3 linked regions of the Oryzias latipes genome follow. The protein of the gene in region 3 purifies or fractionates together with the protein of the main gene of each other region. This does not show direct contact. Links are inferred from orthologs where the notes say so. Each region holds a gene or a part of one and is shown on either strand. Other genes may lie near its edges.

What was found.
Region 1: the proteins of cdk5rap3 (region 3) and ufm1 purify together in Homo sapiens (co-immunoprecipitation; 3 studies listed by BioGRID and IntAct, with this or other methods). This does not show direct contact. The link is inferred for Oryzias latipes from reciprocal best matches to the Homo sapiens genes CDK5RAP3 and UFM1.
Region 2: the proteins of cdk5rap3 (region 3) and pip4p2 purify together in Homo sapiens (affinity purification with mass spectrometry; 3 studies listed by BioGRID and IntAct, counting the BioPlex papers as one, with this or other methods). This does not show direct contact. The link is inferred for Oryzias latipes from reciprocal best matches to the Homo sapiens genes CDK5RAP3 and PIP4P2.

What each region holds. Positions count from the first base shown.
Region 1 is NC_019872.2:10,431,293-10,435,525, reverse strand, and holds the start of ufm1 (ubiquitin-fold modifier 1), read right to left. Parts: upstream 2,873-4,233; 5' UTR 2,755-2,872; coding exon 2,753-2,754; intron 2,649-2,752; coding exon 2,592-2,648; intron 673-2,591; coding exon 615-672; intron 1-614. UniProt on the Homo sapiens protein: Ubiquitin-like modifier which can be covalently attached via an isopeptide bond to lysine residues of substrate proteins as a monomer or a lysine-linked polymer.
Region 2 is NC_019869.2:23,150,203-23,153,812, forward strand, and holds the end of pip4p2 (type 2 phosphatidylinositol 4,5-bisphosphate 4-phosphatase), read left to right. Parts: intron 1-1,258; coding exon 1,259-1,349; intron 1,350-1,765; coding exon 1,766-1,909; 3' UTR 1,910-3,068; downstream 3,069-3,610. UniProt on the Homo sapiens protein: Catalyzes the hydrolysis of phosphatidylinositol-4,5-bisphosphate (PtdIns-4,5-P2) to phosphatidylinositol-4-phosphate (PtdIns-4-P).
Region 3 is NC_019877.2:19,050,159-19,053,810, reverse strand, and holds part of cdk5rap3 (CDK5 regulatory subunit-associated protein 3), read right to left. Parts: intron 3,608-3,652; coding exon 3,507-3,607; intron 3,392-3,506; coding exon 3,343-3,391; intron 3,140-3,342; coding exon 2,961-3,139; intron 2,881-2,960; coding exon 2,744-2,880; intron 2,505-2,743; coding exon 2,360-2,504; intron 1,796-2,359; coding exon 1,703-1,795; intron 963-1,702; coding exon 881-962; intron 790-880; coding exon 701-789; intron 1-700. UniProt on the Homo sapiens protein: Substrate adapter of E3 ligase complexes mediating ufmylation, the covalent attachment of the ubiquitin-like modifier UFM1 to substrate proteins, and which is involved in various processes, such as ribosome recycling and reticulophagy (also called ER-phagy).

The sequences.
Region 1 (4,233 bases), on a different chromosome or scaffold from region 3:
GAATGCAGCCGTTTATGGCGATGCCATCGGTTCATCATAGGAATCCATGTGCCATAATGCATTTGGACCTCTGCATCTATATCTTCCACGGCATGAGTGGCTAGAAATCCACTCCTTGTGGGTCAAGAATCTTCGTCTGAAGCGGTGCAGCTTTTCTGCAAATTCTTTTCAATGTCCTTATACTTATAATAAAACGTTGACTCACTGAAATACTAAACATTTCCTTGTGTGTGAAACCAAAGCTAAAGTAACTGCCTAGTTTCTTTCTAGTAAACAGACTTTTGACTCATAAATTTATAACTTTAATTTGAAGATTCTCAACCTATAACTTGTGAAATTATGACTTTATTCTAATTTTTTTAAACTTTTTTTTTCTCATAATTTTACAACTTTATTCTTGTAATAAAATACAACATTTTCCGATAATTTTAGGACCTTATTCTCATAAATGTGTTTATTTTTACGGCAACTCTAATACTCCGTTTTCTAGAAAATATATTATTGCTACAGAGATTTTTTTTCCGCATAACTTAAAAACATAGAAACGTTGATGTCATTCATTTATTCTGGTAAAAATCTGTCTTTTGTTTTTAAGCAAAAGTCGGAGAGATTACCTCCTCAGCGGCAAACTTCAATACTGCAGTGAATGGCGTACTTTCTGGAACACTTAATCTGGAGAAAAACAAAAAACAACATAAATAAATGTGGGGAATAACTTTAGGGAATAAGAAGTGGTTCCTTGATATTCCCTCTCCTTGCGTTTTGTCCTGAGCTTTTAATGGACTTGAGTAAAAGCAATTACTGTCCCCGGCCGGTGTCTTCGTTCTTGATTAAAAAGCACACAGTGTTCTAAACGTTTCAGCCAGTTACACTAAAAGAGCCCCCAGATGTGCAGCTGTGCAGCATTCCATTAATGCTGATTACCATACAGAGAATCGGAAGACAGAGAAAAGTGAGGGAACATTAACTTACTATTAGGAGAATATAAATCCATATGTAACTTGAATTATGTGATAAACTCAATGTACTTTTATGTTGGCTGCTTCCCCAGAGGAGAAAGTGCCAAAATAAGGAGTAAACCCCTTAAAAAATTAAAAATAAATAAAGAAATTAGTTGAAAACAGTAAAAATATGAGAACATATAGTAATACCAGGACATTTGGGTGGAAAGGTGGAGTCATGAAGTAGAGAGAAGAGCAAAACTATATTTATCAGTCACAAAAAAAGACAATGTTCAACCAAATAGATCCCAAGTGAGGCAACAATAACTATCCATTTGGCATCAGTTTCAAGACAACTGAAAATATTATATTATATTATATTTAAAGTATAATACAATAGTAAAAATAAAAAGCATCCTACATCAATTATTAGATGTTATATTTTATCAAAGTATTTTATCAAAATATCTGGCTTGGAGTCAACGTGTATTTGCAACTGTTTTTTTTAAGCAATCAAAACAAAACAAAAAACTAAAGAACACCAACAATATATATCAATCTCCCTTCTACCTACATTTAAAACCTGAGATAATTAAACTTTTGAAAGATAAAAATAAAAAAGTGAAAGGTACAATTCCATAGTTATACATCCACTAATGATAATGCAGTTATAACGGCTCTCAAACTTAAATAGATCAATTTATTTGATTTCTTCCCAGCATTAAACACAAGTGAATACTGCAATAAAAAAATGACAAAATATAGAAGAAATACATTGATTAGAATACAAAGCAGAATGAACAAAGATGTCATTTTGACAGAATAATTACTCATAGTCATAAACAGACTTTCCAAATAGTCACATTTCCACTAATACATGCAAAATGTCAATCTACTGAATGTAAGGGTGATTGGAAAAAGAGGTGAATTTCTATAATCCCATTCTGATTATTAAATCCATCTGGTTTGTACTTCTCTAAAAATCTAGCAAGTGCCAAAGAAAATAAAGGCTCTTAGACTGATGATGAATTTAAAATGAGTGCATAAACACAAGAAAGCAACAATAAAACATAGAATGCACTGATGTAGAACTCTTCCCAGACATGAAGCTAATAGATTGGCCTGAAAACAGATTAGTTGAACTTTTGATTTTTTTTTTATAACCACTGAATTTAGTCACTGGCTTTGCAGGTTATTACAAAAATCTGTGTCATAATGAACACCCCCAATAAGAGGGATTATTCTGCACTTTTGTTTTTTTGGTTATCAATTTTTAACCGTCTGCTAAATAAATTTCCAAATAAAATTGAAAGGTCAGAAGTAAACCCTACAATAAAGTATAGTACTCAAAAACCTCAATCTACATTATTTAACCGTGAACACACCTCTGAAAATAAAAATACACAAGGATAACTGTCTTATAAAGCTGAAAAGGTCAGTTATTATGGCCACATCATGTTAAACCGGTGAATTATTATCCTCGATCTTTTGCAACACATTAGATCGCCGCGCATTTTTTGCATCATCTTTATAGGCGCTTCAAAATACCGCAGATTCAAAAGGAAATGTTTGAATTCCGCCTTTATTTTAAACGGAAATTTAAATTGTGACTGGTGAGGTGGTGTCTGTCTGTGTGTGTGTTGTACTCACACTTTGTATGGCAGCCGGGGGTCCGACGTCAGCGTGATTTTAAACGTTACTTTGGACCTAACAACGAAATGAAAACAGCGCTGTTACCATTACAGTGAATATTGTTGCTTTTTAAATGTATTTGCTAAAAGAAAATCCCACTAAAGCCAGGTAAAACTAACATTTTTTGAACGAGCAAGTCCCTTCACCACCTATACCGACACCCGGAAGTCTGAAGGACCCGGACGTACACGTCATCTCTGTCAGTTTTTAGTTTTAAAATGTTTCTGTCCCTTTATTTTATTTTACACGTTTATGGTCATTTCATATATGTTTTTTTAAAGAAGAAATTTAAAAAAGAAGAAAATAAGAAACAACCCTCCGTTTTTCCAGACAGGCATCCGTATCGGTAGCAGCAATGACTGAAGTTACCGTAAAGGACAACAAAAAAGCGCACTCAAAGAACGAGTGCACAATGAATTAATTTCTTTATGGTTATTATTATTATTGTTGTTGTTACAACGTAATAATACCTGAACAATGCTTTAAACATAAGTGAAACTGAGTTAAGTTATTTTTTTGTACACTGTAAAAAAATAATACCAACCTTGGACAATCGACAGATTATGGACCCTTTTTATTTTTCCCTTACAGCATTACTTTATTATAAAAAACTAAAAATACAAAAAAATTTAAAAAAAGTAAAACAAATGCTTAATCACTTATTGAAAATTGTTAAATTGATTGCCTTTTAATGATATTACTTCACTTGCTCCAAAAATTGATAAATTGATTCAAAAATCTTTCCTAATGTAGCATAATTTTGCACATGTTTTTAACTTTTAATACTTGATGAAATTTTGCTATAAAAATTCCTGAAACAGTGTTGTCTACTTTACTGATATAGTACTATGTTTTAATCATATGAAGGACTTTTATAAGTAACATAATCTGCATATATTTTAGATGACTGATCTGCATTTGCCATGTTGATTTCTAAAATAGTTATTTTTCACGTAATACTTAAGTAATTCATCTTTGGCATGTGCTTTATCAATACCTTATGATTCTTAATTCTGTCTGATAAAACCTAGGAACCGGATATTGATAAATCATGTAATAAAATGGTTATAGTATAACGGGGTGGAATTATATAAGTTTGCTTCCTTCCACTCCCTTTCAAGCAATATTTATTAATATGTCTAATTATCTTAAGTTTGATTAGTTACTGTATGAATGTATAACTGATGATTATATTGCTTTTGTGTATAATTTCTACTTAATTGCTTGAAATAAACAATTTCAAATCAAATCAAATAATGTGTTTAAAATGTTATTTTTCAAATGACACTGCTTTTCTTTGTAGTTTTTTTTCTCTTTTTTTTCTGATGAGTGGTGGCTGGATGGCTCAGTTGGCTGCGTGTAGACCTGGCAAATGGGGAATCAGGGTTTGTTTCCCAAAACGCCATGAGCTTCATCCAGTGTGGGTCCTCTGGCAAGACCCTTAAGCCTACCTATGTAGCCATGGGGGACCCAAATCTGGATTTTGCTGTGCTGGTCACAAGCCCGGATAAAGTACAGCGTTGCGTAAGAAGGGGCATCTCAACCCATCCAAACATCTCTGCCAAACCCCCATGCACAAAACAGTGAATAATTTTTTGGT
Region 2 (3,610 bases), on a different chromosome or scaffold from region 3:
ACATTCCAATGGATTCTAGGATTCTAGTGGAAGCTCAACTTAAAGTCCCACTCCAGTGATGTTCCTAGTGATGTTTTAATTATGATTATGCCGTTTTTTGCTAAATAAACCCCCAAAACATGTAATTTTCTAAGACATAGTTTCTGCAGCGTGGCAATAGTTAGAAGGGAAATTGGGAAATTAGAAATTAGAAATTTACCTCTGAGTCGTGGGCGGTACTGTTGGTGCGGAGCAACCCCGCCCCCACTTTCCCTCAGTGTTATTGAGCAGGGAGCTTGTGGCCCGCCCAGCGTATTTTCTACGTCACACTAAAAGCTCCTTTTCAATGGCATTTTTTGTCTGCACACCAGTCAAAATAATATGAATAAAGAAAGACCTAAAATGCAATTTCAAGCTTAGTTTTCTTCAAAAGAAAATGTTAAAAAGCAGGATTTCCATCGGAGTGGGTCTTAAAGCAACATGCTGCCAATAAACACATTTTTGTGCAAGTTACTTCAAAATTATTTTGTTTCTTACCACATTTTATTTGTCACTGTTTCTCATTTGTAAAAATGTAACTTAATTATAAGAAAAAGTAAAGTAATGGGAAACGATGCTGCAAATGACTCTAAAATGTTTGCCCCCCTCCTAGAAAAGTCAAACTAGCAGAGTAACTAAGACTAATGTTCAAAAACCTGTCTTCCAAAACTGAGTTGAGGTAAATCAAGTTATTCCTAGATATTGTAAATTGTAAAGTGTGGTTGCCGTGTGATCACTGTTCAAACACGGAGTGGAGCACGGAAGAAGTCAAGAAGGAAGGAAGAGTTTAAAAGAAAAAAAACCCGTTAAATATCAGGTGATTCGGGCCCTCTAAGGCATCTGAATAGCAGCAATCCCTGAAGAATGTCGGAGTCCAGTCACATGAGAGCCATGTGAGATGTTGGGGAATAAAAGTTATAGTGGGTGAGGGGCTGCAGCAGAGGCAGCAGCTTCAGGGTAGTCGACTTGTAAATGCTTGGCTGGAGTATGAATGAAAATGAAAACGATGGGAGGTGGACATGTGACTGTCCTCATGAGTGACCTATGAGGTCTTCATGGAGCAGCTTTTTTGTAATTTGAAGCAAATAACCAGGAAGAAGGAAATGGAAGGTGTTACTGTCATGCAAAAAATAAATGCATTTTATTAAGTAAAATTCTGGTGTTATCTAAAATAAAAATGATTTTATTCTTAAAAATCCTAAATATCCCTTGTTTTCATTTTGTTCTTGTCCTTTTGTAGATCGTCTGTTGGCAGTGCGCTCCCCAGGAGGCGCTGTTGCGCTTACATTACTGTAGGAATGATCTGCATTTTCATTGGTGTGGGTTTAACAGTGAGTATGTTTTCCCTTTATGCTTATGAATTTGACTTCTGAGATGCTCATCTCTGGGAAAAACTTAAAGGTTTTTAAGTTTTTCTCCTTTGCTGGGTAACTATTTAAAATCGTGTTAACATCAGATTCTTTTATGAATTTGACTTTATGGCTGTAAAAAAAATGAAATGATTTTAGCAAGTTTTTTATTCCTCTTTAAAAAATAAAAAATGATTAAATTGAATAAATGAATAAATTACCACTAAACAAGCGGAAAGGAATGGGTAATAGAGAGACCATTTCACATTTCCATTTAATCTAATTTTACATTTGAGCAGATTTGCAATAAAATCAAAATCGTCAGTATTAGTAAGAGAATGTCAACCATGTTTTGATCCCCCCTTTTTTTTTTTTTTTTAAATCTCCTCCATGGTTAGGTCGGGACTCGAGGTTTTGCCCGCCGTTACAACGCCACCTATGTGTCCTGGGCATTTGCCTACCTGCTGGGCCTCATCTGTCTGATACGAGCCTGCTACTGGGGAGCTATCAAAGTCAGCTACCCGGAGAACAGCTTCGCCTAGAGAACAGTAAAGACGTGCACGGCTCAAACGACAAACCCTCTTTTTAGTTTCTTTTTTCCTTACCTCTTCAGACTTCCGAGATGTTACGCACGTCTGATACCAGAAGAAGTGTATGCTGGGGATTTCTCCTGTCGTGCTCATGTCTGGATTTTTTCTGAGTCACTGTGCAAACCCTCCTCCTGAAGGTCAATCCAGAGCTGGTCCACAAAGATTTGAAATCTTGCTCAAGTTTTACTAAAAAAAAAAAAAAAAGCACTTTTTTTTTTTTTAGATAAATGACAAATTTGATCTGGCTACTTTTTATTAAGTTTGTAGAACAATATGGTTTTGTTTAGGATTTTTGGACCAGTTTTTAACTGCCTAAGTGGCCTGACAGTACTCTTTCTTTGTCTTGTTACTGACCAGAACAAAATGAAACCCCCTCCTGAAATCATTGTCCATTGCACTATGATTTATGCAATTTTGAGTGAGGTTTTGCTGCTAGTTGATCTGGAGTTGCAGTGAGATACACATTCATGCTGCACTGCAACCTTGCCAGTGTGCTCGTAACAATGTTTGTTTTTTAATGCTCCAAACGATCAACTTTTAAAGGTAATTGTCTTTATGTACTCATGTGTGCCAATTATGTTGCCTACTGTAAGGTTAAAAAAAAGCATTATGCCCACCTCTGATTTCTTTTCTTTTCTTTTTCTTCCTTTTCCTATATGTTTGCAGCTTTAAGGAGCAATAGCCCTGCTGGGTCATTTTTCTTAGCCTAAATTGCTGCAATCGTTAAGATTATTTCCAAACCCAGAACCAGAGTAACTCACAGCTGCATGTGGACTCCGTCATGGCATTGAGGTTTCTTTATGTTTTGTTTCAGAGGGAGCTGAGATCTTTACTCCTTCCTCCTGGGGGTTAGAATGTAAACCTCCTCCCTCCGCTTTAATTGCTGCTTTCCAATCTCCTCTGAACTCCTTCCATGCTAGCATCTCTATATTAAAAACAAAAACTCAATCTTGAGCACAGTTCCAACGTCTAACCTTGTTTTGAATGTGATTATGACAATAAACCAGAAAAAAACGTATTAAAAAAACGAAGTAGTGGGAATAGAAGGAACAAATGGTTTGTGTGTCTTTTTAAAAATGATAATTTATCAATAAAATGTAAAAACAGCCAACACTGTTCTACTGTTTTTGTTGAGAATGTTTGAGCTCTGAAGTTTACGTTGATCAACTTTGCTGTGTTTCTTGTCTTTAGAGACACATTTTCAAATGTTTTGTAAATATTAATTTCATATCAAAAATTTATTTAGCTCTAAACCTAACAAAATCCTAAAATGATGTAATTTTGAAAAATAAAGAATTAAATGGTTTCTAAACTCTAAAAAACACTCCTGTTAAAGGGAGATTTTATATTGAATGAAACATTTTTTAACAGCTGATATTTGACTAAATTCAATATTTATCTTCTTATTATAGAAATTCCTTCAAGCTGCTGTACTGCTGTGATGAAATATTGCAATTTAGACAAGCATTAAACAATTTCAAGACACTTCACCTATCAAATAAACTAATAAAATAATAAATATACCTGAACCAAGACCCATAAAATTTAAACATTAGTTAGGGCATTCATTTTTATATTTTCTTTTTGTAAAATGATGTTTCAGTTTTGTCCAAAAATAATATAAAAACCCATAGCTCACAAGTTAATTGACAT
Region 3 (3,652 bases):
TGTGGGCGAAGGTAGGGGGCACCCTGGATAGGTCGCCAGTGTTGCAGGGTAGAGTGTCCACAATCACACACCCCACATACTCTCACATTCACACCTAGGGACAATTTAGATTAACCAATGAAGCATGTTTTTGGACGGTGGGAGAAAGCCAGAGTCCCCGGAGAAAACCCACGCATGCACGGGGAGAACATGCAAACTCCACACAGAAAGGCCCCCCCATTGATGTTCTGGTTTGGGTCCCCCAGCAGGGACTTGAACCAGGGGCCTTCCTGCTGTGAGGCAAAGGCGCTAACCACTGCGCCACCGTGCAGGCCTTAATTCTAGTTATTTCAAGTTATTAATTTTTTATTTTTAGTTATTAAAAAGCATACAAAAAAAACGCAATTCTAGTTATTTTCTCTAATCTGTCACATTAACTATCAACCTATTATTTATAAGGAATTTATTTTTCTTGATTAAAATTTTTTAAATATTGAAACATTTACTGAAATTTTATTATTGTGCACACTCCTCGTTCTTTTTTCCAGCTACACTCTTAAGTCAATCATTACCCCTAACATTAAATCGCTCATTTGTTCTTTTTTTGGGGAATTAGCCATTAAATTGTTTGCAAGCCTTCTCCTGCGCGACTCAGGAGTTTGGTTTGGTCACAAAGGAAATGAGCGAGATGTGAATCGCGTGGATCTGGGAGCCTGTTTACCTCCATCAGCTCATCAATGAACTGACTGCGTGACTGAGAGTTTTCCAGCACACCGAGCGCATCCTCTCCCCTCGCCACACCCTCGGGACCTAAAAAATGACACACTCATTACTCGAGTCCAGGCCATTCATAGTGTGAGCATGGGACAGAATTTGATGTGGAGTTCTTTCATTGACGTACAGTCTGTCCCTATGTCAACGATTTCAATTTCTATGGGAGCTCCCTCTGTGTCCCCCCAGTCGATGGCGCCTGTTGCTGCGTCCTGATGAAGGAGACAGAAGACCGGCTGCTCTATTCAAGCTTTTATCGCACACAGACATCAAAGTGGATAGAAAATAGATTCGCTTGGGTTTTATTTCCAACAGATCAGTGTTGATAATAGTGCACCAAAACCAGGTCTACATTAGAAATAAACAATAACTCTAAAGCCAACTTCAGGTCTTATTTGTCTTTATGTTTATTTACAATACATCCATGTTTAAATTACATTTTAGGAAGGTAAAAACTATAACAGTATCTGATTAATATGAATAATATAAATAACAACAGAATGACAGATATTTTATGCTTAAATACAAATGAGTTATGATTTTATTCTTTTCATTTGGTTTTTTTATTTGATAGAATAAAACATTGAAATGATTTCTAATAGAGAAAAACGTCAGTTCTTGCAGTCTTAAGAATATTAGAAAAATGAAAAAGTGATCTAGTGAAAACTAGTGACCTTTTGAATTGCATTGTGTACACAGAAAGAGTCCAAAAAGGGGTTAAAAATGTGTTTCCTTCAATGTTACTCAATTTCCCCCACAATGTTCAGTTTTTCAAAAACTGTTTAATTCAGTTAGTAAGAAAAGAAAAAGAGGAATCAGAAGAATGAGCAGCAATGTAGTGTCTCACATTCTAATTTTTTTACTGCTTAAATAGAAAAATGCTAAACTTATCACACTTTTTGTGTTTATTGTATTGAATAGATGATCATTTCTAACACTGCATGAGTCTTACCTCTGTAGTCGGCTCCAGACTGATTCCCCAGTCTGTGATGCCAGCATCCACAACTGAGTTACCTTCTGCTTTTCCAAAGTTGCCCCAGTCAATCTACAGCAGATTTTAAAAACAGGGTGCAGCACTGTGGTTCATAAAAGCACCTCAAACTTCTCCACAACACCTAGTAATAAAGTAATGTTACATGCATGAGGAGATCTCATTTTTGAAGGAACTTTCAGAATTTCAAAACCTTCAACTTTTTTCTAACTGTAATGATATGAAAGATTCTTTATAAAAAAAAAAAGGAGAGAAAATGCCACAGAATTTACAAACAATGGGATGTGTGAGGCTGGGCAAAAAAACAACCCCAATTCATTTTGAATCTTAAAAAACTAAAAATGGATAAATGCATGAATTTACAGTTCTTTAAAATACTAGCATTTATTTTTGTTGTATAATAAACCTCTTTCAGCTAATTATTAATATGATCATCAGACATTTTTTCTTCAGAAAGTTCCACTTTTCTTCTGCTTAAATCAAAGTTTTTTCCTCTTTCTAACAAAGTAGTAAGCTGAATGAGGAATTTGTGTATGAAAATGAAATGGTTTTAGCATTCTGGCAGCTGTAGTCAGGTGTTTAAAATGTCTGTGATGCTACAGAGATGTTGAAACCAACCGCATCCTCTGAGAGGGTCTCAGGACTTGTTTCCCCCATCGATGGCCTTTCCACGGAGGACGGGGCTGTCCCGGTTCTCCACTCATAAAATGTTGCGTGCCCTCTCTTTTGTACAAAGGTCAGCAAGGGCAGGACAGGTTCAGACCTGGAAGACACAACATGGGATCTTATGGGACCGAGGACACCACCACTGCGGTGCTTTTACAGACTCATCGTTTTATTTGAATGCTTTAATTAATGGAATTAACCAGTGGAACTATTTGTGGCTTAATACTCAATTTTACTGAACAGAACAGCTGCACGGAAGGTACGTAGTGTGTATTTTATATTGATGAAGTGCAAAAATGTCCCTTATGAATACAGTGGCTTTCATTTCACACTCACCAGTCACACAAAAAGTGTGTAAAGGCAGTGTAAAGCTTAATCGTTTCCTCTAACTTTGCTGCATCCCTGCCAACTTCCTCCAGAACCGCTGGCAAGTCCTTCACCAGAGCTTGAAGCTCTCGTGCTACACTGTCACCCTGTCGATGGAAAAACAACAAAGAAACTGTCTTGACAAAAAGACCGATCCAAATTTGTTAGCGATTTCTCTGGGACTTACAGAGATGCCGTACTGTCTGCAGGCAGCGTAGTAGCGCTCCCTCAGTTCCGCTGCAGAGCTCTGGCACTCCACCTCCCGCCTGCTGAGCTCCTGCTGCAGCTGCTGAGCTTTAGCCAGCTGCTTCTTCAGAGCTGGACCTTCATAGCTCACATTACGAATCAGCAGGCTGGCCACCTCCGCTGGGACACAAAAACAAAACCCACACAAAAACAAATCAACAGTACTTCGATTTTCTCTCTGCTGGAGATGAAATCTTTCTCCAAATTTCAGATTTTTGAACTGTAAGAATTTACCATCAACTGCATTCAATTTACCTCAAGTTGACTTTGGTATTTCTAATTTTACATTACCATGACATCAATAACTGATCGGTCAAACTCACCCAAATAAACATTGTCTGCTTCATAAAGGGACACAATTTCCTGCCAGTCCTGAAACAACCAAAAAACATTCCTCCCTAAACTTTTCAAACAACAAAACTTACAAATAAGAAAAAAAAAGAACTTTTGGAAAAAGCTCGACTGCAGCTTGTGTGACTCCTCCCACCTTCATCCTTTGAGAAGAGTATCGTCCGAAGATGTTCTTTGATGAAGCTTCAGTTCCTTTCAGGATCTCAACGATCCTCAAACAGTGAAAGTAGTGAATGTCTGCAAATTCAAAACAACAAAACACAACAAGGCGGTGATCTTTAA